7 linked regions of the Coturnix japonica genome follow. The protein of the gene in region 1 purifies or fractionates together with the protein of each later gene. This does not show direct contact. Links are inferred from orthologs where the notes say so. Each region holds a gene or a part of one and is shown on either strand. Other genes may lie near its edges.

Region 1 (4,243 bases):
CCCAATGGGGACCCCTTGCTCCCCAGCATCCTCCTCTTGGGACAGGAGTAGGCCCCAATGTGGGCTCAAGCACCAAGCTGGGCTCTGTCCCATCATGGCACAGAGATGCCGGATAGGAGGGAAGAAAATATTGCAGAGGGGACGGATGGAGGGGGCCCAGGGCTGCTGCAGCACAGGGACCCCAGGAAGGCACCAGAGCCACACCAAGGCACAGGGCACCACGTGGCTGTCCTCAGCCCTGCCTGCGTCCCCCCCCTTGGCAGTGGGATAGCTTCTGAAATCAGGACAAGAGCCTCAGAAGTCCAAGTGCGTGAAGTCCCCAAAGTCACAGTCAAAGAGTTCACTGATGCCCTCACCCTCCTCCAGGCCGAAGTGGTAATCCTGTGCCTGTGGTGGTGACAGGGCAATGAACTCATCCGCCAGGAAGCCCGAGAAATCGTCCTTGGCCTGCTCCAGAAGGGTGTCCATGGAGGCCAGCGGTGACAGGCTCACATCCTCTGTGGAGCACTTGGAGGGCAGTGCTGTGCCTGGTAGCAGTGCTTCTGTGGGGACAGAGCGAGGCTGTCAGCCCCACAGCACACACCAGAACTGCTGTGTTCTAAGCTACTGAGGCCATGCAGATGGCACACAAAGCATCAGGAGTGATCAGAAACATCCAGGCCAACTGGGCAGCGTGACTCAGACCACTTGCTGAGTGGTGGGACAAAGAGGGACAGTGTCCTTTCCTAAGCAGAAAGATCCAGGGCTGTCTCTGCCAAGCTTGGGTAGGAGCAGAGCCCACAGCTGGGTGGATCACAGAATACCCCAATTTAAAAAGGACTCGCTCATAAGGATCATTGAGTCCAACTACTTGGCACTGCATGAGCATGGAGGTCAGGCTCCTCCTAACACACAGCCAAGACCTCAGCCCTGTAACCTCGTGCTCCTGGAACTGGAACAACAGTGATAACACTGTCCCCACACCACAGAGCCCAGGCAGTGCCCCCATTCCATTCCATTCCCATCCCATCCCATCCCATCCCATCCCATCCCATCCCATCCCATCCCATCCCATCCCATCCCTTCCCATCCCATTCCCATCCCATTCCCATCCCCATCCCCACCTTGCTCACCAGGCAGCAGCATGTTGACATCCTGAGCAGGATGCAGGAGCGGGGAGGCTCTCTGCTGCGATGAGCCAGGGGACAGCTCCTCAGCAGGTGCCTTGAAGGGGCTCTTGACGGGGCTGCAGACCCCTGAGCTGTCCTCGGGGCAGAGGAACACGTCGATGGGGCCCTGAGTGCTTTTCACTGAGACCTGGAAAGCCTGGGGACAGGAGGGACATGGAGTGCCAAGGTGGAGTTGTACCGAGGGCTGTGAAGATCCATGGGGAGGAGAGACCCCTCACTCACCTCTGCCGGGTCTGAGACTTGCAGCTGGGTCTCTGGGGGTGCCTTGATAACCATCACCATTTGCTCAGAGGGGTCCACAATGCTCCGAAGGTCCTGGCAGGTGACGTAGGCTGCGGTGCGGCGGGTCAAGGAGCAGACACGGGGCCACATTCACACCCAAAACCCCACACAGTGACCATAAGTGTCAGAGCAGGGGGGGGCTCCATTCCCCAACAGCTCTCCAGCCCATCCAGCCCCATCCCGGCCCCGCACCGAAGGATATTGCTGGTTGGAGGGATCCTCGGTGAGCAGCCGCAGCTGCACCGTGCACGTCTGGATGAGCTCGTCCAGCTGCCGTTCTGCCGCCTGCAGATCCCGCAGCTCCTTCTCCAGCAGCTGCTGTCGGCTTGAAGCCCCCGCGGCCACCTGGCTGCCCCTGGGGTACACAGGGCTGTCACCCCCAGCACTAACACCCCACTGCTGCCATCACCTCCCGATCTCAGGGTGGAACCCAACCTCCCTCCCTCCACCCAACCCTGGCAGCTTCGGTGTTATCCCCCCACCCTGATGGACATACATCCACTGGATGTGGTTCTTGGACTTCTTGCGGATGAGCTGGATGCCCTCCAGGACATTGGTGATGTCGTAGATGCGCCTCTTCTGCACCTTCAGCACCTCGGCCGCCCAGTTGAGATCCACCACACCATCGGGGGATTGGCTGAGCAGCTCCAGGAAGCGCTTGGTGGTGAGGTTCAGTGAGGTTTCATAGCGGGATTTCTCCCCAGGAGACTTTGCCCCTGTTGGGGACAGGTGCAAGATTCAGCCGTGGGGCGCGGGGCAGCCCCAGCACCGCCACACCCGGCAGGTGAGCAGCACCCGGCAGCTGCTGGCAATGGGAAGCTCGGGGGATGGTGCTGCAGGGCCCCGAGACTGAGCCCTGACAGCGAGCAGCCGGGCAGGGCCCAGCGCTCTACGGGGACGGCAGGTGGCAGAGGGGAAGAGGGAGGTGACGAGGCCCATCCCGAAGGGCTCAGGCCGGCAGCACAGCGGGGCCGTACCTCTGCCGGGGATGCGGGCCCTGCCGCGGGCGGCGGGCAGGCTGTCGGCGATGTACTGGTGATCCGTCTCCAAGTTCAGCTTCCGCTTCACCTGCGGGACAGGGCGTCCTCAGCGCGGGGACGCGGAACGCACCGCGGCGGCAGGGCCGGGCCCCGGCCTGTGGGGGCAGCCCCGCGCAACGGCGCTGCCGGGCGGAAGGCGGCCTCGGCGGCGGCTTCCGGAGCGGCGGTGCCCCGCGCGGCCGGGCTCTGACGGGGGGGGGGGGGGGGGTCCCGCGTGGGCACCGCGACGTCCCGGCCCCGCCCGGCGGCCCGCTCAGCCCCGCTCAGCCCCGCTCCCTCCCCCGTCCCGCGGTTACCGGCGGGCGGCCCAGCGTGGGGCGGCGCGGCGCGGGGCCGGGCTGGGAGGGCTGCGGCGTGGCGAAGAGCAGGAGGTCGGCGTCGGGGCGGCAGCCGCCCGCGGGCTCCTCGGAGGCCGAGACGATGAGGAGGTGCGGGGAGGAGCCGCCCAGCAGCGCCGCCAGCCCCGCCGCGCCGCCCGCCGTAGCCATGGCTCAGGTGACGGGCGGCGCGGGGCGCGGGGCCGCGGCCGGGGCGGGGGCGCGGCCCATTGCCGGGCGCGGGGCCGATCCGCGGGGCCGTTCCCCAGGTCGTTCCGGGCCGTTCCGGGTTGTACCGGGCCGTGCCGGGCCGTGCCGGGCTGTGCCGGGCTGTCCCGCGCTCCGGCCCCGCGCGCCTTTGCGCGCCAAATCCTTTTTGCCGCGAAAGCGGCGCCAACCTCCCCGCGCCCGCCCATTGGCTGCGCCCAACGCCGAGCGCTGAGGCGGGGGTGCGGGGAAACCGTCTGATTGGTCGAGGTCGCCGGAGGGAGGGGCGGTGCCGGCCGCCCATTGGTTAAGGGCGGCGGCGGCGGACGCGCTGACAGGCGGCCAATCAGAACCGCCGAGCTGAGGCAGGAGCCAATCGGGAGGCGTCTCGGGGACGCGGCCGTGGCGCCGCGTGGGTGAGGAGCGCGGCCGGGCCTTAAAGGGGCCGAGGGCGGCGCGGAGCTGGTCCCGCGTGGGGTCACTCACAGACGGGTCTGAGCGCCGGGCGCTCCCTGCACTGCTGGGCTAGAGCTGCCCGTGACGCTGTGCGGGCTGCGGGGCTGAGCTGCGTGTCCGTGGCGGTGCGGGCGGTGCAGGGCAGGGCAGCCCATAGTCAAAGCCGCGGGACGTGGCGTGGGCGGCTCCCGCCGTCTGTATCCCGTGTGCGGGGCGCTGATAACCTCAATGTGCCTCCAACGGAGCCCAACCCACAGGGACATAAACACCCCCCCATCTCGGTACTGCGGGGCCGGAGTTGGAGCTGCGGCCGCAGCGGGGCTCAGCGGGACGGCCGGGTTAGCGCTGGGTGCGGGCGGTGCCTCACAGCGGGGATGTAGTGAACGCTGAGCGGTGTTTTGCTGCTCGTTCTTCCTGTGGCTGCGGAGCCCACGGCCCAGCCCTGCAGCACAGCACCGAACGGCAGCACCGCTCCGCTTGGCGGCGGTGAGCGCTGTTAATTAACGCTCGGCCCTTGCGATAACCCGCACCCCGGTCACGGCGATATCCCCGTTAGCGAGTGGTACGAGCAGCAGTTACACGCCAGATGCGGCCCGTTGGTGCCGCCCCGCCCGGACACACGGTCCCACCCGCCCCGGCTGCGGGGCCGTTCCGGGGCCGCGGGCTGTGAGCGGCAGCTGCGGCACCAGCTGCTCCCACCGCGCTCACAAAGGCCGGGGCAGCTGGGGGCAGCACGGGTTTGTTTTATTCCCCCCTCCCTCATTCATACGGC
Region 2 (3,566 bases), on another chromosome or scaffold:
GTCTACTTGTCCAGACTACAGAATAGCAGAAGAAAGCTTGTTTATTGTTATCATCACAGTAGATAGGCAGGTAGTAAATATTCAGAATTGATTCTAGAGCCTAATTTCATGTTCTTTTTAGAGAAGGAAATTATTATTGGGGTTGTAAGGAAGAAGAATCAGTTGCCCGTACTGTTTTAATACTGACCTTTTCAAAATACTAGACATAGATAACCATTCCAGAAGTAGTAAGCTTGTCTGTCATTATTGACAGAGGCAATTTTTTTCTTAAATCTAAAAAGCCCTTGAAAGTAAAATTCAGTATTACATTTGCTAGGTAAGTTAATGGATTTACATAGTACAGATACTGTGTCTGAAGACAACAGAATATGATAAAAATGCATTGGTGACTTTAAGCACTTATAAAATGTACTTGTGATCAAACCTCTAACAGTTGAAACAATGTAGGCAACATGCTTTTTGCTGTACCACTTTAACTTTTATCTTTAACTATCAATACCCCTCACTTAGCATTTTTGCTTAAAAGAGATTTGTGAATCCATTTTGCTTACCTGACAATAAAACTATTTGCCTTGATCTTTTGCGCCAACACTTGGTAATTAAACCTATGTGTGCTGAAAAGCTGAAGCACTTTCTTTTTGACTTTCTAAAACGTGTTGCCGTTTGATTTTTATTTTTTTATTTTTTTGGTGAAAGAGAAATATATTTGAGAATCTCGTGGCGTGGGGAAAAAGTAAATGAAATCTGAAACATTGACCTTTTCTGTGTTTCGTTCACAGGCTGTTGAAGAAGAAGATAAGATGACACCTGAACAGCTGGCAATAAAAAATGTTGGCAAGCAGGTGAGGTGCGATGAATTAGAGGTGGAATGATACGCTTCCTTCATTCTAAATATTAATTTCCTTACTTGTGCGTAGGTGATTTTATTTCTACATGCAAGATATTCTCAGTGCTCTGAATAGTGAATTTATTTTTGCTGAAGGTTGGGGTGTAGGGAGCAGCGTGGCTTTTGGCCTTAGGTAATCATTAGAATATCAGCAAGTCACATTCCATGTGCATTTGTATTAGATGCTGAGGAGCGCTGTTAAGATTTGGTAGTTTTTCCTTTTTATTCTCCTTTCCAAGGGGATGCATAAAGATATCCTTGTCTGTACTGTCAGAAAGGTCAAAACCATGAAGGCTTTTAAAGAACAGCCATGTTGAAAAAAAGATGAGAGTGTAGTTTATACCTTATCGTGGCTAATGAGCCAGCTCACCCTGTCCTCCTTCATAAGCACAGTCAATGCTGAGCTCCAATATGCACGTGTGCGAGTAAGATGCATAGCTTCATATTGTTATTGGAGTGAAACAGTTTAGAACCATAAATGAAACTGAAAACATCTATTCAAATCATTCTCTTTACAATGCCCGGAGATAGAGGACTTCACAGAGAAATACTTACATTTATGATTTTAACCTAAAAGCTGAGGGAAAAAGCTGCTCTGGAAAAAGAGGATAAATGAGCAAAACAAGTTGGTAAGAGATTGCATTCAAAATTCAAGAAAGGCAACAGAAACAAGAAATAGCTTTATAACTGAACAGTACATCCTTGAAGAACCAATATTTATTGTATTACTAATAGCAGAAGAATTTAAAGGATTCTGGATTGCTCTTATGTGTCAGCTTCTAGCTGCTATGTCATAACACATCTACACTATTGTTCAGTCACTCGTGTATTTCTGTAGCATTCAGAACAATAGAGTTTATGCTCACCTACACAAACGTAAGTATATATAATAAAACATGTGACAAAGGTTGTATTTTAAGAGCTTTGGTGTCATCTTAAACATGATTTGAGCTCTCATCATTTAAATCATTACACATATGAGGGAGAAAAATATCTGTTTTGAATAAGTTCTTTTTAAAGAAAAGCCATTTTTCCTGATAAAATTACTGAGTAATTTCCATGTGTTTTTGTTTCTTTGCAACTTTTATATAGAACATTTTGTAAACAGGCAGCTGCTCAGGTTTAGCTTTGCATTTTTCAGAACTTTAAACATCATGTTGTGCAGCTCTGTTTATTTTTTATGGGTATTTGTGTGCTGATTTTCTCATGGTCTATACAACTACTTGAAGACTTTACAGGACTAGGCTGCAGTTTTGCACAAGTATCTGAAAGCAAACAGCTGAGTACCAGAGCTGAGGTGAATTCCTCATGTTGTGTTTTGTCCTTAAAACTCACAGCTGTTGTGGTTGTACACCTTCAGAGTACAGAGAACCTTCAGAGGCTGTATAGGAATGCAGTTCCTAAACCAGTCCTCAATTACTCTGAGTGATGGTGTGGACTAAGCAATTTCTGAATTCCTATATGATAAGTCTAGTTAGAAAGCAACATTCTGGAGCATCACCAGCCTCTTAACTTGCAGTGGTTTTACAATGATGTAATTAAAAGTGTTCACAGAGATTTACTCATTTCTCTTACTGCATCCTTTGTGTTTCAGGACCCAAAACGTCATTTAGAAGAGCATGTGGATGTGCTGATGACTTCAAACATTGTCCAATGTTTAGCTGCTATGTTGGATACAGTTGTATTTAAATAACCCATTTCCTTTTTGTGATGCTTTCTGTGTATATTTGTTTATTGTTTCTAATACTCACAAAGAGAGACTGTTGAGGCTATATTTGGTTAAACAGAGACATCTGACTTCATTTGCAGTTTAAGTGCAGTTCTCTAACACCCTCCAGTCTCTAATTGTGCAGTTGCTTCGGTTTCCTTACATCAGGGTCTTTACAGATTCCAAAGCATTTTAAGAACACAACGTGGGCAAAAAATGTATTAAATTTTCATTTAATATTTGGGGGAAAAAATCAGTAGTACATATATATTTTGATTGTTGCAACATAATAAAAATACATTTACAAGCCTGTCTTAAGTTCTGGAAGATCTTCTTTGTGAAAGAGTGAGGGGAATTAATGATGTATGAAACATGCTGGTGAAACACATTTCTGCCCACTGTCACACTACTGAGATAGTAGTTGCTAGGACGGCAGAAGATTCTCCAATGAAACTTGGCTCCCATTGATTGCCAAATATTCTTTTTGAGATAGAAAAAAAAAGGTATTAGCACTGAATTCCAAGGCTTTACAAAAACCAAAATGCTGAAAATTATGCTAAGCACTGCCTTTCAGTAGTATTCAAACTGTAATATCCACAGAAGACAACTGACCTTAAGAAAATGCATTCAGTTCTGCTGATAACTGATTCACACAACGCTCACCAGTGGTGTCATAAATAGCAGTATTCTGAGAATAAACGCTGAAGTGGCAGAGGCTGCTCTAAGGTTATAGGAACCTTTCCTCCTGTGAAAGAGGAGGTACATGAGGTGCCCGTATGTATAAATATAAGGAAAGAGTCCCAGCTGGAATACGACATTTGAAACCCTTTCCACAGACTGGAGAGGGAAACGCTTCCCGTGGGGTGGGTGGGTTTGGTTGCTTGGCTGAAGGCAGACAAAGCCAAGTACCGGCTTAGGGGGGTGCTTTTGAGTTTGGGTAGGAGCTCAGGGGTGGTTTGGTTGGATTTTAGG
Region 3 (3,710 bases), on another chromosome or scaffold:
ATAACCTGGTGCTGAAATATTAAGCCCTTTTGCTGCCTAGTTGCTGTTTCTTCTCACAGAAATATGCAGCACCAAGCAATGTCCACCAGCCTCAGATACAGTTAAAAAGGAGTAAAATACCTGGTTGTATGACAAATCCTGCCGTGTTCTAAGGAAAGCTATGGCTGTAGTGGAGGAAAAAAAAGATCTACACTATGTTTAAGATGACCAGCTTACATCAACTGTACTACAGGTGGCTCACTGAGATTACGTTGCAGCTGAGTGTTTTCTTTTTCCTCCTGAGCAGACAGATTCTCCTCCGCTCTCTCCCTACCCCTTTGTGAGAATCAGCTCTCCTCGCCGAGTCCAGCTGTCTCAGAACCACCCGGTGTACATCTCGCCACACAAAAATGTGCCTGCTCCCTCTCATCGAGAGAAAATATTCTATTATTTCAGCAGCAGCCCATCCAAGGTAAGAACTAAAGGCGTTTAGTTTGGTTTTATAAATCCTTAGTTCTGCCCTTTCTGTTGGGATGTGTTAGACTAGAAAAGACTGCTCAACACTCCTTTTAGTGTACACTGTTAAAGTTGTACTCTGTCACCAGACTGTCTCCAGCTTGTCAGTCTACAGATCTAAGAAGCTGGAGAGCAGTGAGGTATCCAAGGTACTTGTGTACTTTTAAAAGCTATTCTTGATAATGGTACATATGAAAGAGCCAGAAGGTACATCAGTGACACTACATAATGGGATGTGTGGCATGAAGGCCCTAAGAGTCAAACATGAAGTAGTCATTCCCTCTTATCTACGTAGTGAGGCAAAAGGTCTCTTAGCACAAAAAGACTCACCAAGCGAACATGGAACAGACTGAATCCCATGACCTCCAGTCATCCACCATTAAGTAGAAGCCTTCTCCACGCAATGTCTTCACTCAGGATAGGAATTCTGTACCTGTGGTGTAGGATAACATGTCATAACTACAGCAGGAAGGCCTTCCAGCTCCATGTGCACCAGCAGAGCATCAAAAATCTTACACAGAAGCCTTGATAAAGACTCCAGTAGTGGGACCAGTACAATGGTCAAAAGGGTTAGTTTGTTACAGAAAGCACTGTACAGTGCACAGCTCCAAAAATAAGGCATTTGTAAGCCTGCAGTAACGGGACAAGCAAAAACATCACTTTTTTGGTTGCTACAATAATGAGATTGTTTTTTCCACCTCTCCCCAGAGGCTAAAGGAAATTAACAGCATGATTAGAACAGGAGAAACTCCAACAAAGAAGAGAGGCATTCTCTTAGAAGATGACAGTGAAGCGCCAGCGAAGCGGATCTGTCAGGAAAACCACACTGCTCTGTTACGCCGCCTGCAAGATGTAGCCAACGACCGAGGGTCCCACTGAGGGCTGGGGCTCAGCACAGGTAGGACCTCTGTGCTGCTGTGCCAGGCTGCCAGCTCAGAGCATCCCACGGACTCAGCAGGACCGCACAGGCATCAGGCTCCTCCTGCCAGGCCATGCTGACCAGTCCCTGCTGGGCTGTACAGAGTCTCTGCCTGCCAGAGCTTCCCCAGTGCCAGGGGATGGGGAGGATGCGTTCTGAACCCTGCAGTTCCACTCTGTCTGTTGTAAAGCTGATCAGAAGGCAAGTGATCTACCTGCTGGCTTTGGCTTCAGAAGGCAGTTCAAAGCTTTGTATTGCTTGGAGAATGTATCCCTCATACAGCTTTCTGCCTTGTAACAGGTATTTAAATCCATCTGCTCAACCAGTGTACTTACAGTGTTTTCATCAATGCTTGACCATTTTCAGCTTTGGAATAGGAAGTTGTATATGTATCAAACATGGGAGCGTTGTACCAAGGCACTCATAGTCAAATGTGTCCTCTGGGGGAAAAAAAAAAAGGAAAAAATAAAACATTAAGTACTGCCATAAAAAGAATGATTTATAAGCAATAGTCTGGCAACATCCAGCCTTTTCTGCTTGGAAAGGGAAGATAGGAATAAGCTTTTTGAGCGCTGAAGGAAGCTGTCTGAATGGATTCTTTTTGTATTCAGGATGCTTTGTGTGCCCCCAAATCCATCACGTTGTTTTGCTTTAACATTTGGGCACCTTGTTGTATAGAAGTAGCTAACTCCATTCACGCATCATTTTTAGCTGTGCAATGTTCTAAGGTGAACTCGTGTTCAAAAGGTGGCACTTTGGATAGGGCTGTGAAGCATCGTTTTTAAGGCAGATTAGTGTTGCTGTATATTTGCAATGGCACTTTCTAAATGTGAATATCTTTTTAAAGGCTGACTTCAGCCTTTTTTCTTCACGGAAACAATCCAATTCTTGTATTTATTTTCAACGTGACATCCCATAGCTCCCCTTCTTCAGCAAATGGCATTAAGAATTCATTTTAACGTTATGTGCATGCAGTAACAAATGCAGGAGGCCAGGGACGTGGGCTTTGGTCAAGGAATTTTATACACCTCTGTTGTTTCTTCAGCTGGTTCTGCTTGAGAGTCAGAACCAGGAACCTCCCTTCCTCAGTAGAAGGAAGGTGGCCTCAGTCTCCTCAAGGTGCACACTGTGCTTCTGAGTGGTTATAAAGGACAAAGGAAGAGGTTCTGGGTTTTTTTTTTTAATGGACAGAATCAGGCTGCCTGGGAGAAATCTCTCCCCTGCTAATGGTATAAGAAAGCAGTGCGTATATTAATTAGACATACTAATTGTTTAAATTTTAATCAATTCTACAATACCAGCCCTGTTGGTATGCTTAGACCTTTCCTAATAACTACTGCCCTGTGCCAGTTGACTCATCTTTAATGACAACTGGGGACAATGCTGTTGTACTTGTAAAATTTAGCACACACGGATGCCAGAAGGTTTTGTAAGGAAGCAGAACTTAAAAGCTCCACGTTCTCATTCATTCCTGCTCCTTTGAATAATGGAAAGATTTGAGACTTAATTCCACAGTAAAATCAATTAAGGTAAAATAAAAGCATCTTCAGTTCTTACCTGTGTAAGAAGGGCTGAAGTGGAGCAGCGGTGTAGATGTTTCTGTAAAAATATTTATGAACTTGTCAGACAATTCTGTTATTCTGTACCATTTCCATTAATTTGTATGAAACACTGCAAGTGTATTTTTCAATAAAGAACTCATAATAAGGCTTGTGTGGAAAAAAAGCTTCATAAGAGCAAAAGCTACACCCAGTGTGCATCTGTCAAAGGCTCGGGCTGATCTGATGGCACAAACACCAAAATAGCACATAGCTGGGTTCTGCGAGGCTCATGATGTACTTAATCACAAGAACCTCAGCCAGACATTGACATTCAGGGTGTCAGGTAACGGGGCAGCGCTTCATTAACTACTCACTCTAAAAAAAATTACTATTCTTGCCTCTGTTAAGTCATAGTCTTAAATAGTGAAGCTTCTCTTCCTATTTCTGAAATATTCTTTACAGAAATCAGAATTACAAGAATTACTTTTACAAGTGTTTTTAAAATGCTGCTTAAGTCAGGTACTGATTGAAGCTCAAACATTTGCAGTCCATTTTTCATTAACTGACTCCCAGCAGTAGCAGGACAGGTAACAGCCAACTGCTGGAGGAAAGGGTTTGTTTCTTCAGTGCAGTCTGGGTGCTGTCTGCCTACCTTGCTCCTGGAACTGCTCCTTTTTGTGCATGAATTGCTTACAGGTGATCCGTCAATCTTCCCTTCTCTTCCCTTTTTTAATCGTAAAAAAGAAAAAAAAGCT
Region 4 (3,712 bases), on another chromosome or scaffold:
GTTTGAGAGCTTTTTATTGGTACTTGTATTCACAGCTAGAATGCAACTGGTTGTACCATAGAATTGGTACCCAGCACACAGAGTGCTTGACAAAATTCAGACAGACTTTGCTTTAGGAAAACTGCAACTTAATCCTTGGTTCTCCATCCTCACTGACTTTGTAGCTCAATTACTTGTTACATCAGTTAACAGACTGCACAACGGAGGGCTTCTTTGGAAAGGCTGATGTTTCCTTTGGAATGTGCCTGGCTCCAGCTGTGTGATTTGCTTTTTGAATCTTGTGGTGACTTTGGTCCCTCACTGCTACAGAACAGAGTTGGGACATAGTGTTTAAAATGCCAAGATTGATACGGTTTTTCTGGAAACGCATTAGAAAATGTAAGACAGGTGTGTTTATTTTTGATACTTAGCTTCTGCCTCTTGGACTCTGATCTTTCTAGGGAGTTTGTAGTCACAGAATCACAGAATGGCCTGGGTTGAAAAGGACCACAAAGATCATCCAGTTCCAACTCCCTGCTGTGTGCAGGGTCTCCAGCCACCAGACCAGGCTGCCCAGAGCCACATCCAGCCTGGCCTTGAATGCCTCCAGGGATGGGGCATCCACAACCTCCTTGGGCAACCTGTTCCAGTGCACCACCACCCTCTGGGTGAAAAACATCCTCCCCTGTCTCAGTTTAAAACCATTCAGTAATCACTGATTATAAAATCAATTCTCAATTAGAGTTTTCCTGTTAGCTCCTCTGAAAGAAATAAACTCTGCATTGACAATAAAAAAAGTAGATACTTTTCTGAGCAGAAATAACCACAAAAAAAACCCACTGATTCCCTCAAGGGCAACTTATTTATTGCTTTAAAGGAAGTCTAGAATAAACACGTAAGTCAAAATCTGCAAGAGAATGAAGTAAGTTAACACTTACCATCCAGCCTTTTGCTAATCTGTTCTTTTGCAGCTCTGTTTGCCCAGCACTTCTTCACTATTTCATTTTTGTCTTTGCTTTCTCCATTGTTGGTTCCATTTTCCTTCATTGTTTCAGAGTTCATTAATTCACTAGAAGTATTTTCAGGGTTTTCAGAGGATGCCTGTGTGTCTTGAAGCTTTTCCTCCGTGCAGATCCCTTTAGTTTCAGAGGCAGGATCACAGTTTTCTACCTTACATTCAGCTGCGTGTTCTGAGGGTGCCACCGAAGTATCCGGTGGAGTCATTTGTTCTGGTGATCCAGAGTCTTCTGAAATGTTTAAGGGTGTAGGCGGCAGCTCAGCTGAGTGCATTTCCAGCTCTCTGTGCATTCGTGGAGGCTTTTCTGTTATTTCTGAAAGTTTTACTGAGTTGTAGCAAAGTTTTGTATATTCACTACCTAACCTTTGACATAATTCATTAATAATAACATCACAGTCTCCAAGAAGCTCCACGTCAAAGTGTAGATGAGGCAGAGGTTCCCTATTAATTAAGATCTGAGGCACTTCATGAGGGATGGAACCTAAAACACAGAGAAGACAGTTTGAGGACAGGCATTTTGGTTTTACTTTCTACCAAAGGTCTTCCAAAAAGACTTCATTTCTCAGAGATGTCTTCGAGGTCTGTCCGAAGACAAGCAAATCTTGAATGTAACAAAGCTGAGCGGCAGTGTGAGGTGCTGTGCCTGTGTAGTCTATCTAGATTTCCCCGTTTCTTGCAGTATAAGGTGTTCTTCTATTTCACCACTAAGAAACCCGTGCGCAAAAATGTTGACTACGGCAATGTTTGGTCACGTGTTATTACAAGATTATTACAGTACTGTAATTTCTTTGAAGGACTGCAGTGATCTTGTACATTCATTTGATGCACTTCAGTGCGCACAAAGAAGGTACTGTTGTTAACTGACTTTCTCTTAATTAGGTCAGAATATCTGCAGGTACAGTCTGTGATGTAAGGGTTTGCTTAACACATCTGGGGCTCCAAAACCCCACAATCTGATAGCCTGGTATTGACTGGTTCTTCAGATAACCAACTAATGAAATTCAGTTTGTGGATGGAGCAGTGATTTGTGGATCCTAACTTTCCCATCAGCCTGAACACAAGGCTCTACCTCTTGTATAAAGAAAAGAGGGTGTTACTACAGAAGTGCTGGATGTGGCTCTGTCCCCACTGAGCAGCAGATGGTTGGTGCAGGCCCTTCTCAGGCTTGAGTGTTAAAAGTGCAAGTTAAGTTGTGTGTTTAATAGGCAAATAATTAACCTGCAATCATATTTTCTCAGACCTCCTGAAGGACTTATTTTGTAGTAGCACGGATAGTTTTCCTTATCACCTTTAAGAAGTAAGGACCCAAGTGGCTGTACACTATGTACTGCCTACTATGTATTGTTTAGCACATTGACTTTAATTACTGCTTAAACACCTGATGTACCTGTTCCATTTTCTTTTTTCTTTTCTTTTTTTTTTTTTTTGACACTACATTTATCTTTTAAAAGACAATTACTCTCTAAATCTCACAATTCCAGAAGCATATTATGAACAGGGAGAGAAATACATTCGTCTCAGAACAAAGACATTTAACTTTTAGCGCAGTGGTTCTCTGGCTTATAGATTTATTACTTTGAGATCTCTCCTCTGGCTTAAGTGTAGAAAAAACACTCAGAACTGGAACTCTTAACTGAGAATTTTAATTTCATCCCATTTTTTGAAAGAAGAAATTTCCAATGTGAGTCACTTACTTGGAATCAATGCTACTGGTCTTACTTTCAGTGAAGACCCAATGACAATAAGGAGATCGACTTCATTTTTGTCGTACTTCATGGCACGATGGAACTGCTCAGGTAAATTCTCTCCGAAGAACACTATGTCAGGCTTCATGATAGCAAGTGGCTCATCAGGCGGACAGCGAGGACATCTAGGAACAACCTGCAATAGAGCAGCTTGTATCACTATTGAGGCTTTTAAGGTGCCACAGATTTTAGCAATGCACAGTGACTTATTCTGGTGTAAGACAGAAGCTTCAGTGATATTTCCTCATTTATTTTTTTCCTGTGAATGAATGCATTTCTTACTCTACTCTGCACACAGAACTACATTGGGAATGAAGGAGTCTTTTTATGTCAAAATGGAGAAACAAAGAAAGTCTACACCTCTGTTCTTAGCAAACAACTAAGCCAAAATCTACGTGTCATACTCAGCACTAATGTGTAATCACCTCCTAGTGGAAAGGAAGATAATTAATTGGTTTAATCAGAACAAAAGCTTTACTTTCACTATCAGTTTCCATTATACAATCTGTTATGCACCCCTTCCTAATCAAACAGCATGTTATAGAGCATTACCTCTCTGCTTTCTCTTCTCCAAAGAGAGAGGTTGCATGAAGTAATGTGGCGCTGTAGCAAGTGGCTAGCAAAAGCACACAGAACAAGAACAGGGGAGGAGCTTTTGTGTGGTCTCCCTTTTAAAATTTCCCAATTCTTCTAAGAGCAGAGCGATAGTAGATGCTGGTTATGCTCATGGAGAAGCAGAGTCCTTTTTCTCTTGAAACCACAGGGTTTTCTGACCTTTTTGACCTCTTTCAACTTAATACTTTTTCAAGGAGAAGAAAAGCAAACAGGTGAGCGATGCAAATATAGACAGACAGGGCTTTACTACTGAGCAAATTATTTTCTCAGCTGTAGTCTCTAAAGTAAAATACCCCAGAATAGACCTAAAGAGTTAAATACAGCTACAGTCCTACAAGCAAACTAGTGCTTTATA
Region 5 (3,563 bases), on another chromosome or scaffold:
GAAAGATGTCCTTTCCTTGTGCACTTAGATCTAAGGTAAGAACTCCTGTGCAGGCAGTCCTCAAGTCCTTATGGTGCAGGGGGTTGGTAACGATACTGCTCTGAATAACCGTATAGCAGTAATTAATAGCTGAGTAGGATTGCACAGCCAGAAGTTGCTTCCTAGGTTAAACTTAGAAAAAAAATACTATCTGTTTTGACTTAGTCTGGAGAGAGTAACTAACTTAAACATTTTTTTTTTTACCTCAGTGTAAATAGTATGTACATAAAGGATTTGTTCACTAATAAATGATAGCAGTCAACAGGTAAAAAAAAAAAAAAAAAAGGAAGCATTTGGACATGCAAAGCTAAGGAGCTTATAGTACCCTAGTGAGAGTTTCTTTCAGCTCTTGTACTACATGGCCACAGAATTGTTTTGATTTTATTTAAAAAAATATATATATATATTCAAATTTCACTCTAAGGTAACTACTTTTTCTTGTTATGGCTTCTGCTGCAGAAAACCTACCTGCAGAGAATCTCTGCTTCATTTGCCCTTCAATTGCTCTAATGGCAGAAAAACAAATTGATGTTTATTATACTTCTCAGCTTGAGAAATTTGAAATCAAATTTACTTCTGTTTTACAATTAAAGAATAATTTCTAATTAATATACTCTCGTACAGCGACAGTGTGATGTTGAAGCCGGAGTGTTTCCAGTATTTTCATCGACTCATCTTTCTGCAACATCTCTGTCTTAGCCGATGCTACCAAATATCACCTGCTGCCTTAGTGTAAGTAATCCCTAATTGCCCTTGGTTTACTAATTCAGAGGATCAGTAATTCTAAACTTGTTTTATTTTAGGCTTAAGAAGTACAAATACTGTTTTGATAAACTTACTGGTACAAACTAGGAGTAAAATAATGGGGAGACTAGCGTGCCTTATGTCTCTGTTTAAAGGCATTACTTTGCCAGCCCTGTCAGTCTCAGTATCTGTCAGCATTAGGCTTTTAATTGTGTGGCAATAACTTACTTTCAGAAATGTTAACAGAATGGACAGTACTTGCTGACCACTGTCAGAATCTGTGTATAACTTTCCTTTCTCTGCACCTGCATCAGTTATTGGTTAGCACCGAAGCACAGCACAGAGTTATTTGCTTGAGGGCATTTTTTTCTGCCTTCCGTTATTACAACTATTCAGCTCTATCCTGTTTTGTGTCTCAAAAAGTGTGCCCTCAAGTAAGAAACCAAAGCCTTTAGCCTAAAAAATTGAGTAAAAGCATGTATATCTAGTTTGGATGTAGACTGCAAAAAATGCCTTCAGTATAATGATTAACTTCTCCCTGTTTTCTTTCTTTCTAGAGATCTTGGTGAAATTCCAACGTTAAAGACTCTTCAGGTATTTGGAATAGTGTCTGATAGCTCCCTGCAGGTCCTCAAGGAGACACTTCCTAAAGTGAAGATCAATTGTTCACATTTCACAACTATTGCAAGGCCAACTGTTGGCAGTAGAAGGAACCATGAAATTTGGGGTATCAAATGCAGATTGTCACTGAGAAACTGTATTGGCTAACGGTCTTGTATGGTGGATGCCGTGGATGCACTGTGTAGTGAAGGTCCTTGAGAAGCAGAAAGTCAGAGCACATCCAATCATAGTTGCATTTTTATAAAGTATCGTATCTTGGTCTTGTGCCGTAACGTAGTTCTATAAACACGTTTATATTCTTTAAAAAAAAGAAAAAGAAAAAAAAAAAAAAGCCTTTAGAAATTTGGCAATCTGTGAGCAATTATAGGAACTTAAAAGAAAAAAACAAAACCTTTTTGTTTTAGGAAAACAAGAAAAAACCTTTTTGTTTTAGGAGAGCTACTTTAAAAAAAAAAGAATTTGTGAAACAATCACTGTCATGAAACTGTTACAACCTTTATGAACTGCTGCAAGTTCTGATGCAGCGGTGGTTGTACTGCGGTGCTGTAAAGGTGCTTTCGATTAACTCTTCCAGCTCTGCAACTCCTGGAAAATTCAGTGGAGACACTATATGTCTCCTGAATGGATTCTGCTGGTCTAGAGTTTACCAAACTCAAATCAGGTACTGCTGTCAGAGCAATTAAAATTATTAACTGAGTGACATCTGTACTAAGATGTGAAGCTATCCTGTTTGGGAGAGGGACAGAGAAGTGAGTCTGAATTCACTGAATATGGAAACAGTAAGGAAGCATTGGAATGGAGGTCTACAGGAAAGCACTTAAGAGCTCAATGCTGTATGAATAAGAAGCAATAATAATTGAGTTGCTGTGAAGTTTTTCAACAGGACTCCATGTTGCTTTTCTGTGCTTAAGTGAGCTTAAATTAGGAGCATAATCTCAAAACTTCTTACATAGGGTCTCTGAGCTGTATGTAGTATATTGGAAAAAGTGCTTGCAGGAGCAAGTATCTTGGTTCTGAAACTGAGCAGCAACAGACTGGGGCTGCACTGTAAGAATTTTGAGAGGAGCTCCTTTGGGGCTATTAAGAGACATCCATTTCTCTTTCAGCTTAAGTTTCTAGTATTTAACTTCCTGTATCTTTCAACACTAACAGGAGGAGTTTACATTGTCACAAAAAAAGCTGAATAACTAACAAAAAAAGCAAAAAAAATACCCAAAAAACCCAACCAAACTAAGACCAGGGACATGTAGTGAGCCCACACCTCTGGGGGAAGGGACCTGGCTCAGGCTACTACCACCCCCAGTCCAGCTGGGGGCTGGGCATGTTCCAGGGACGAGGGTAAGCATTATCTGAAGAGTCTCTTAGCACAAAACTTGCAAGCAGTGAGCAACAGTAGGGGATATACCATTGTGGTAAATGGGCTGTTGCATAGGCATAGAGTCTTCCAAAGTCAGTCCAAAGATAAAAAGCTCAGTAATAAGTACACACAGTTCACTGTGTAGTGTGGAAAATTGCTTGTTTGCATTCATGCCTTAAGTTACTTTAAACGTTTACTTCAAGAGGAAAGGTGTATCTATTTGTAATTCTCTCTCTGTGTAATGTAACCCCATGAAACTTGTTTTGCATTTAATAAAGAGCTAAGGAATTGCTATATTGTACAGAATGGCTAGTGATTTGCCACCCATGTTTTGGTGTGACTGAAAAAGCAGGAACTTGTTCAATCAGTGCCTGACCAACTGTGATTTACATGACAGGGTATCATCATGTCATGCTTAGTACATGAAAGCAAGCACATTAAACATGCACACACACACACACACGTATATATTTAAGTTGAAATCAGGCCTGGGACAGCTTCAAGCATCTATTAAACTTTTAATTTTATTACATAATGTATAAACTTTAAAAAAAAAAAAAAAAAAGCAAAGATGACATGTTTAGTATAGCAGAACACAAGTGTGGACAGGCACTAAAAGATGACACCATGGATTTGATTTGATTCAGCAGGTAGAAGAGTTCAGTGCCAGTCCAGGCCAATTAAATCAGTGTTACACCAATACTCAGCCCTGTCACAGAACACTGTCTACAAGGTAAGTTGTCTGTACTGCTTTCCTTTGTAACAAAGGATTTTACAATTCTTTAATAAAAAAGGTAGCTGC
Region 6 (3,712 bases), on another chromosome or scaffold:
AAGCAGTGACGAGGTGATGCAAGTTGCAGTTACAGGGGTAGAAGTGCCTAATTGAGACCTGGCTTTAACGAGTCTAAAATGTACAAATCAAAGGTCTTGTTCTAACAAGGGGTGAATTTAGTATCTATGTATGTGAAGGCACTCTTACATCATTCCAAGGCCAAGAAGTGAGAAATACAGTCGATACGGCCTTGAGAGGTACGACTGAAAAGAAAAAGAAAAAAGCCACTGGCGTGTACTTTATATAACACTATTAGGAAAGCAACGTGCTTTCCTTCAAACTGCTGGTTTTAAGCTGCAGTCTTTTTGGAAATAATTCTGTACTTTGTGGTTTGATACTATTTGAAAGAACCTGAAGAACATTCCTCTCTCTGCTGCCAGAGGGTAATGGAAGCAGGCCAGAAGAAAGAGCTCATTAACACTCTTTCTGTGGAATGCATTTGTTTCTTTACAATTGAAGAAATTGCATCAAACAATTTAAGGGCATTTGAAGAACATTTTTTTCCTGTATTCCTGAGGTTAGTTATTACAGATCCTGAGGGAAACGATGAGAGAACGTTCTGCTGGTGACCAGAGGCCACTCTCAGCAGTCCCACGGGTTCACCAGCTGTGCTGGGAGAGGCCTCCTCTCTCTGGACATGAGTGCACGTGTTCTGCACATGTAAGACTCACAGGAGTGATACATCTGTGAAGCACCATTCATTTGTGTGCAAATAGGGGTTTTGCAGGTTTACAGTTCCTGAAGTAAAACCTCCCTGGCTTTAAGTTTTCTTGTTGTTGAACAATTTACTTCATTTCCCCCTTGTGCTGTCCCTCTAAACTTCTGTTCCTCAGCTATGTGTAGATTTTATCCCAGTTTTTATGAATTACTTTAAGCACAGCACTGAGTTCACTACTTCTTCAGAATAATGGTTTTTGAAATGATGCTAGCATTGTGTAATCACCACCACCTGTTTGCAGCAAAGCAAAACACTGCCCTCTTTTCTGCAGGTAAAGTAGGAAGGGTGGAGTGCTCACTGTTGGGTTTTTTTTCTCCTAATATAGCAAAGATGTTTCTGCTTAGATAAAACTTAAAACAAAACAAAACTGCCTTGCTTTCTTTTTAACTGAGCTCATGAATTAGTAATGAGCATAGTTGGAACCATTTTCTCTTGATGCCCTTCAGCTGATTACTATGGTAGGGTGTGAAGGGCTGCTGGCTGCACGCTCGTGCTCTTCTCTGAGTGCTGGGAACTGACTGTTGTGTTTTGTTGCCCTCTCTGCCCACTGCAGTGCCGCGCGTCGTGGCCGTTTCTCCGCAGATGCGTCTGGTCGAAGACAATCCCTCCTCTCTGTCTCTGGTGGAGATCTACAAGCAGCGCTGCGCCAAGAAGGGCATTGAGCATGACAATCCTATTTCTCGATACTATGACAGGCTGGCAACGGTGCAAGCACGGGGGACTCAAGCTAGCCACCAGGTATTAGAACATAGAACGAGTTCTCATGAGGGTTATTTCTTGAGGACTTTGCTACAGCGCGTTCAGCTCCCTCCCATTAGGTAGGGGCTGGAGGTATTTCACTAAGGAGGTGGTTTGCATTCGTTTTGTTTTTACTATAAGTGTTGTTGGGAGTTCTCATACCTCATTGGCGTTTTGGAGTATCTTTGAAAGCCTCCAAAAAGCTGTATTTGTATTTGGGAACTGCAGCTGGAAGCAGGTGAAGGATTCATTACTTTTAGGTCCTTTTTGTATAATGCTTTGTAAATAATGAATTGATGACATGGGAAAAGCATTCCTATTTCATGTTCCTAATTTGTGTAAGCGGAGAATGCTATGTGGTGCCATTTCCTCATCTTTTGGTGTTCATCCTAAAACTGACCCTGGGTTCATCCCACCCAGGTCAGTTAGGAACAGAGGCTAATCTCACCCTAATATGTGACAATACTTGGGAAGCAGCAACTTCTGCCCCTCTAACCTCCACCAAACATCTAATTCTGATAAATACGGTTCCTTTACAGTTTTTAATCCCAAGGTTAATGCAAATTCTTATATCAAATGCTAGTCCCGCATCAAATACAGCTATTAGAAAATACACGGTATATCACAGACATCATCTGGAGAATGTTTTCTGTTAGAAAAGAAAACGAAGAGTTATGTAACATCTGCTTCTATTTTGAGGACTTTTTTCTTCAGGTTATGAAACTCTTCAACAGTCGTGGAACTGAAGTCAGTCTGACTGTCACTCTGGTGCAGTAGAACATTCTAGCTCCATTCCATTTTCTATTTAATTAGGCTAGGATGTGCTATAGTAATGAAATATTTTGGTAAACTGTATGTTTACATTAAGGGAAAAATTATTACTTATTGTTCACATATTTATATGAGTACATCTCTCAGTTTTTCTCTCCACTTTTAACGTTACCTTTTCCAGTAAACTATGCTGTGTGCAAAGAAACCACCAGGTTTTAGGTTTTGGTCTTTGTAGATCCCAAGTGCAATTTCACATCTTGTCATTATGCTTTTTTGTTTGTCAAATGCCTTCCAAAAATTCTGCCTAATTGCTGCTGTAACTTTTTTGTACTTCTCTTTTTGCCATCTGTCTCCTCGTGCTGCCTACAGGCTACCATCACCTGATAATGAGAACCAACCAAGGCTATTACTAGTCTTCTTAGTTGTTGCAGACCAGATATGGAAAGACTCCATGTCACTGTTGTTGGTCAGCATTTTGCTCAGTAATGTGTTAGTCTGAGCAGCAACCTTTCTGACTTTATTTTATGTAAGGTTTCTATCTCAGACCCTTTGAAATTCAGGAAAATTAACTAGGTAGGCTCCATAACGATTGTCACTTAATTGCTGAGTGATGTTTACATCCTTCAATGCAAAAAGGAGATCTTTCACTGCAAGGATGTTCCATGGAAAATGTGTATTTTCCTTCCAGGGCTGCTGACCTTCAGTAGTGTTCAGCGTCCTGGTGCCTGAGGTTGGAAATAAGTGTTACTATTAACACATACAAATATTCAGACTTAAGCAGAGGGTTTTATTTTATTGCTGACAAATGCATAATCCACCTTGCACTGAAGCCTAAAGAGAGTGGAGTGTGTTCCATTAGTTTGCCTTAAGGAGGTGCTGCACTGTGATTGAATGTCTCTTTAGTTTGCTTCTGATTTTCTTGAAAGCTTTGAAGCTACTTCAATCAGTGCATAACTTGGATTTTCTCATGTCAGACTGACTGTAGATCTTCAGCTTATTTGGTTTTATTAAAATCGGAGTCTTGTAAGACGGAGGTTATTTGGCAGCTTTGCAGGGGCTGGACTTACAAAGCGTCGTGTATCCTGGTAAGGAAATCAGGAAATGCTGTTGGATTAAGAGTGTTGGAGTTCGGGATGTTTTCCCCCAGTGGTGTGCAGCAGTTCAGTGAAGTCTGGTAGTTGCTTTGGGCATAATTGTTGCTAAAAATTGCACTAAAAATGATCTCTTTCAAATAACATTTTTCATGTTTAGGTTCTCAGAGATATACTTAAAGAAGTGCAGAGTAACATGGTGCCACGCAGTATGCTTAAGGAGTGGGCTTTACATACATTCCCCAATGCCACGGATTACTGGACCTTCCGAAAGATGTTCACTATTCAGTTAGCCCTGATTGGCTTTGCAGAATTTATCTTTCATTTAAACAGACTCAACCCTGAAATGCTGCAGATAGCTCAGGTATGCTTTGTTTTGTCCTAACTACACGC
Region 7 (4,388 bases), on another chromosome or scaffold:
CTTGGGCATGCGGGGCAGCTGGTGGGAGAACACATTCTGCAAACCAACCAGCCACATCATGATCTTCTTGTTTGGCTTCTGCGAGAGCGAGTTGCCAATGACGTGGAACTCGATGATGCCGCGGCGCTCCTCCAGCCGGGCGGTCTCATCCCGCGCCGCGTTGGCCGACAACAGGCTGGTCTGCATAGGAGGCAGCTGAGCCCCCCCGGCCCCAGGACCTCAGAGCCCTCCAGGTGCCAGCACCCCACGAGCTGCGCCCCATTGCGATGCTGTTCCAATGTGCCCCCCCCTCCCCCATACCTCAGGGCCCAGCATGGCAGCGGGGTCGGTGATGGTCAGCATCACCTCGTTCACCAGCTCCATGGGGATGTCGCCCATCACGCGGATCCTCTTGGCATCCTCCAGTGTCAGGCTCTCAGGCAGCTTCCGTTTCTCCCCTGGGGCAGCAGCAGCTCGTCGGGCAGAGCCCCCATTGCTGGGCCGGAGCCGTTCCCATTCCCTGCACTGCCCTACCTGGCAGAGGCTCTGGCGTGCCAGTGTCCATGCTCGTGGCCAAGCTGCTGCTGCTGAGCTTCTTGCTGAAGAGCGGAGCGCTGGGCACAGTGACGGCACTGACGGTGGCTGCAGGAGAGCAGGCAGCCGTAAGTCTGAGGAATCCCCATCCACAATGCAGCCGTGACAGCACCGGCCCAGCCAACACCCCACGGTACCTGGACGTGACACCAGCTGGGCGCCCTCCGCAGCCGGCACAGTGAAATCTGCCTCCCATATGGGCGAGTTCTCCCCGTAGATCTCCTCCTCCAGCATGGACAGGAACCTGGCAGCAAGCAGCACACCGAGCTGGGTGCACACAGCTCCATGGGGAGCACAGGGGAAACGGCCGCGCAGACGGCAGCCCCGCGCCTGGCACCTACTTGGGGAAGTGGGTGAGGATCAGTGTGCGCTTCTCCGGCACCAGCTTGTCCTTCTCCACACGGAACTTCTCCAGCAGCTGCCGGCGGGTGACGGTGAAGATGGTCTTGAGGAGGCTGCGCCCAAAGACGTGCGTGGTCTCGTAGCGGGGCAGGCTGTCGCAGCTCTGCGGCACGTGGCAGTAGCACAGCCACCTGCGGGGGACAGTGCTGGGATCCCCCCTGCAGCAACACTGCTGGGAGACCCCCATGCAGAGGCAGCCCCCCCTCACCTGGTGTAGTTGACTTTGTAGGTGGCCACGTCGTCATTCTGCGAGCGCTGTCGGAACTGTGACGGCGTCTCCAGCTTCCAGTAGTTGAGGCAGAGCAGGAACATCTTGGAGAGCTCGTACATCGTCTGCCGCTCCTTGGGTGGGAGGTGGCTGAACTTGTACTGCACGAAGTTCAGGACCCCCTGGGGGAGAGGAGTGGGTTGGAGGGTGCCAGGGCCGGGGTCACTGCGCCACGGAGCCCAGCTGGCAGCAGGTACCTCCAAGATCCAAGCAGGAGGAATGGAGAGGTGGCAGGAGCAGAAGGGCCACTGCTGCCACCAGCACATACACACACACACACACACACACACACACACTCCCTCTTTTTCCACACAGTGACAAAGCTGAAAGCTCCATGAGTTTGCAGCACAGCACGTGGGGTCACCATGAAGCCAAATTGCTGCTGTGTCTGCTCAGTTCAGGGTTTTCAGCCCTGTCTGCCCACAGCCCAAGTCTCCAGCACAGCCCACAGCCGCCTCACCTGCTCGATGTTGGGTTTCTCAAAGGGGGGGCTCCCCAGGGACCCCTCGACCACCGGCTGGCTCATCTGCAGGATGCATTTCCTGAGGAGCTGCAAAGACCCCACGGGACACGTCAGCACCTCAATGCCCGCTCCCTTCCCAGGAGATCAGACACAGCAGCTCCGCAATGGGGCTGCACGGAGTGAAGCTGCCCGCAGGTGGGGCAGAGGGCAAACAGGACAGATGGACGCACCTTGAACAGGTAGAAATAGACCTGCTTGGTGTCCGTGTCCTCCTCCTTGTGCACCGACATGAAGAGGTTCTCCACGTCCACCACCATGCCCAGCAGCCGGTTGATCTCCTCCTCCGACACGTTCTCCAGGTGGGACACATGGTCGGCTGCGGCAGAGACAGCACGTGGTGAGATGGGGGTGGGCGCAGCGCCCCACGGTTGGGGGTCCCAGCGCCGTGCAGCCCCGGGGCTGTGTGCGGTTACCCAACGCGTGGCCGCAGCTGCGGCACGGCTCGCTCAGGTTGGTCACCGGCTGCTGCAGGTCCATGCGGGGGGCGGTGGGGGGGTTGGGGTTCTTCCAGCCGTTGCACTTGCAGGCATCGTTCGCCTGCGAGGAGGGACGGGAGAAACCATCGCACAGCCCCGCACAGCTCCGTACAGCCCCGCACAGCTCCGCACAGCTCCGCACAGCCCCGCACAGCCCCGTACAGCCCCGCACAGCCCCGTACAGCCCGGTACAGCCCCGTACAGCCCCGCACAGCCCGGTACAGCCCCGCACAGCATCACACAGCATCACACAGCCCGGCACATCCCGGCACATCCCGGCCCTCGGCGCCTCCGACCCCTCCAATCTCATCGTGCTGCTCCCCCGCCCCGCGCAGCCGGTTGCCCCGCGCCCACCTTGCAGGCCGAGAACACCCCCAGCTTCTCCAGCTTCTTGCCGCGGGGGAAGCCCCGCACCTGCGCCTTGCGCTGACTCGCCCGTTGCTGTTGGCTGAGCCCGGGCCGCGCCGGGTCGCTGGATCCCGCCCCTCCCGGAGCCGCCCCCCCGCTCCCCATCCCGCCGTTCGGCGGCGCCGCGGTTCCCGGTGCCGGTGGCGGCCTCCCGGGCTGCGCGGCCTCCGGCTCCGCCATGCCGGGCTCGGCGTGCGCTCCGAGCTCACTGCGCCTGCGCGCCGGGCACGCCGGGAGCTGCTGCGGGCGGCGGGGTGGGATGGGAACCGGGATACCGGGATACCGGGATGGGGACCGGGCAACGCACCGACGGAGGGGCGGGATGGCGGACGGGCACAAAGGAAGCGCCGCGGGATGACCATGGAGCCGCCGCTCGGAGCGCCCATCCCGGGGCTGCGCCGGTAACGCGGAGCCGACGCTCAGCGCGGAGCAAACGGGGGTCGCCGGCCCGGGGTCCGGTACCGGGACCGTGGGAACGGATCCGCCGCGCCGCCAAACACGGAGCGCGGCGTCACCCACAGCCGGGAAACAAGGAGCGGCCGGAGCCCGAATGTCCCGACACGGGGCGGCTCCGCCCGCAGCACCGGGGGGGCGGGTTTGGCCGAACGTCCTTCGCGGGGCGCCGCGCAGCGACTGGAACGTGCGAGCAGGGACGGGACGGGGCGGGGGGAAGTAATGGGGGGTGGGGAGGGGGGCGGCTGCTGTCCCCGCCCGGCAGCGCGGAGAACGTCCCTGCGCCTTCCCGAAGTGTCCGGCGCTGTCCCGGGGCGCTCCCCGTGTCCGTGTTGTTGTGCACGAGTGGCAGCGCTCCCTGTCCGTCCTCCTCCACCGGGGCGGGGTGAGGAGCTGCCGGGGATGCGCCCTTAGGGCGCAGTGCAGCTCCCGGGGTGACCGACCCGCCAAATGAACAAAGACACGAGCCGTGTATGTAAAAGTCAAGGAAGTTTATTACATATCAAAAATAAACCTTCACGCTTTGGCCACAGATCCCCCCCCGCACCGGGCTCAGCCCGGCCCCGCGCTGCTCCATCACGCCTTGGCTCTCTCTGCTCCATCCTCGGCGTTGGCCGCGGGCTGAGCCGCTGCTGCCGGCAGCTGGATGGGCACGTTCCTCTCGTTGGGTGGCGGCAGGGCCAGCCGGGGGGCCTCGATACGCAGCTGCCCCTCGCTGGACAGGGAGCAGGTCAGCGCCTCGGCGTCCACCTCCTCGGGCACGTCCCACTCGCGCTTCAGCACCTCGTACTTGTAGGAGAAGGAGCCCTTGTCGTCCGTGTTCTGCGTCTCCTTCTGCCCCACCAGCACCACCTTCCTGCCCACCACCTTCACCGACAGCTGCTCGGGGGCGAAGTCCTTCACGTCCTGGCAGACGGAGAATCCCTCCCCGGAGCCCTGGGTCAGAGCCGCGTTGCTGCTCGGTGCCCGCTCGATGCTGACGCGGTTGGAGCTGCTCCCGCTGCTCAGGAGCTGCTCGAAGCTGCTCATGAACTGCCGAGCTCTCTCCATCTCCATCCGTATCTCCCTCTCCAGCTCAGCGAAGAGGGTCCCTGGGTGCGGCCAGAGGGTGCGGACGGGTCCCAGCCACGGGAACAGAGACCCGGAGGTGGGCGGCATGAAGTGCAGGCGGCAAAGCATCTCTGCGGGTGCTGCGGCTGCTGCTGTTCGCAGGGCTGGAGCGGTGCTGGGCTGCCGCCGGGACGCGGGGTTTTATCCTGCTCTCCCCAGGGGTGTGCCCCTTCCA

What was found.
Region 2: the proteins of E2F1 (region 1) and PSMD14 purify together in Homo sapiens (affinity purification with western blotting; 3 studies listed by BioGRID). This does not show direct contact. The link is inferred for Coturnix japonica from reciprocal best matches to the Homo sapiens genes E2F1 and PSMD14.
Region 3: the proteins of E2F1 (region 1) and RBL2 purify together in Homo sapiens (affinity purification with western blotting; 3 studies listed by BioGRID and IntAct, with this or other methods). This does not show direct contact. The link is inferred for Coturnix japonica from reciprocal best matches to the Homo sapiens genes E2F1 and RBL2.
Region 4: the proteins of E2F1 (region 1) and SIRT1 purify together in Homo sapiens (affinity purification with western blotting; 3 studies listed by BioGRID and IntAct, with this or other methods). This does not show direct contact. The link is inferred for Coturnix japonica from reciprocal best matches to the Homo sapiens genes E2F1 and SIRT1.
Region 5: the proteins of E2F1 (region 1) and SKP2 purify together in Homo sapiens (affinity purification with western blotting; 6 studies listed by BioGRID). This does not show direct contact. The link is inferred for Coturnix japonica from reciprocal best matches to the Homo sapiens genes E2F1 and SKP2.
Region 6: the proteins of E2F1 (region 1) and TRRAP purify together in Homo sapiens (affinity purification with western blotting; 3 studies listed by BioGRID and IntAct, with this or other methods). This does not show direct contact. The link is inferred for Coturnix japonica from reciprocal best matches to the Homo sapiens genes E2F1 and TRRAP.
Region 7: the proteins of E2F1 (region 1) and KAT2A purify together in Homo sapiens (affinity purification with western blotting; 4 studies listed by BioGRID and IntAct, with this or other methods). This does not show direct contact. The link is inferred for Coturnix japonica from reciprocal best matches to the Homo sapiens genes E2F1 and KAT2A.

Annotation. Positions count from the first base shown.
Region 1 is NC_029535.1:1,933,433-1,937,675, reverse strand, and holds the start of E2F1 (transcription factor E2F1), read right to left. Parts: upstream 2,995-4,243; 5' UTR 2,980-2,994; coding exon 2,788-2,979; intron 2,520-2,787; coding exon 2,429-2,519; intron 2,168-2,428; coding exon 1,948-2,167; intron 1,807-1,947; coding exon 1,654-1,806; intron 1,507-1,653; coding exon 1,392-1,506; intron 1,306-1,391; coding exon 1,113-1,305; intron 543-1,112; coding exon 295-542; 3' UTR 1-294. UniProt on the Homo sapiens protein: Transcription activator that binds DNA cooperatively with DP proteins through the E2 recognition site, 5'-TTTC[CG]CGC-3' found in the promoter region of a number of genes whose products are involved in cell cycle regulation or in DNA replication.
Region 2 is NC_029522.1:25,310,535-25,314,100, forward strand, and holds the end of PSMD14 (26S proteasome non-ATPase regulatory subunit 14), read left to right. Parts: intron 1-779; coding exon 780-842; intron 843-2,480; coding exon 2,481-2,579; 3' UTR 2,580-2,907; downstream 2,908-3,566.
Region 3 is NC_029526.1:4,008,763-4,012,472, reverse strand, and holds the end of RBL2 (retinoblastoma-like protein 2), read left to right. Parts: intron 1-286; coding exon 287-451; intron 452-825; exon of another isoform or gene 826-928; intron 929-1,203; coding exon 1,204-1,374; 3' UTR 1,375-3,123; downstream 3,124-3,710. UniProt on the Homo sapiens protein: Key regulator of entry into cell division. Directly involved in heterochromatin formation by maintaining overall chromatin structure and, in particular, that of constitutive heterochromatin by stabilizing histone methylation.
Region 4 is NC_029521.1:8,463,888-8,467,599, reverse strand, and holds part of SIRT1 (NAD-dependent protein deacetylase sirtuin-1), read right to left. Parts: intron 2,879-3,712; coding exon 2,692-2,878; intron 1,479-2,691; coding exon 918-1,478; intron 1-917. UniProt on the Homo sapiens protein: NAD-dependent protein deacetylase that links transcriptional regulation directly to intracellular energetics and participates in the coordination of several separated cellular functions such as cell cycle, response to DNA damage, metabolism, apoptosis and autophagy.
Region 5 is NC_029547.1:10,073,954-10,077,516, forward strand, and holds the end of SKP2 (S-phase kinase-associated protein 2), read left to right. Parts: coding exon 1-35; intron 36-663; coding exon 664-771; intron 772-1,340; coding exon 1,341-1,551; 3' UTR 1,552-3,062; downstream 3,063-3,563. UniProt on the Homo sapiens protein: Substrate recognition component of a SCF (SKP1-CUL1-F-box protein) E3 ubiquitin-protein ligase complex which mediates the ubiquitination and subsequent proteasomal degradation of target proteins involved in cell cycle progression, signal transduction and transcription.
Region 6 is NC_029529.1:1,461,883-1,465,594, forward strand, and holds part of TRRAP (transformation/transcription domain-associated protein), read left to right. Parts: intron 1-1,272; coding exon 1,273-1,457; intron 1,458-3,479; coding exon 3,480-3,683; intron 3,684-3,712. UniProt on the Homo sapiens protein: Adapter protein, which is found in various multiprotein chromatin complexes with histone acetyltransferase activity (HAT), which gives a specific tag for epigenetic transcription activation.
Region 7 is NC_029542.1:4,445,348-4,449,735, forward strand, and holds the start of KAT2A (histone acetyltransferase KAT2A), read right to left. Parts: upstream 2,858-4,388; 5' UTR 2,831-2,857; coding exon 2,597-2,830; intron 2,304-2,596; coding exon 2,180-2,303; intron 2,083-2,179; coding exon 1,937-2,082; intron 1,794-1,936; coding exon 1,704-1,793; intron 1,366-1,703; coding exon 1,184-1,365; intron 1,107-1,183; coding exon 915-1,106; intron 818-914; coding exon 711-817; intron 622-710; coding exon 514-621; intron 438-513; coding exon 301-437; intron 196-300; coding exon 1-195. Other genes in the region: heat shock protein 30C-like, read right to left, coding at 3,680-4,282. UniProt on the Homo sapiens protein: Protein lysine acyltransferase that can act as a acetyltransferase, glutaryltransferase, succinyltransferase or malonyltransferase, depending on the context.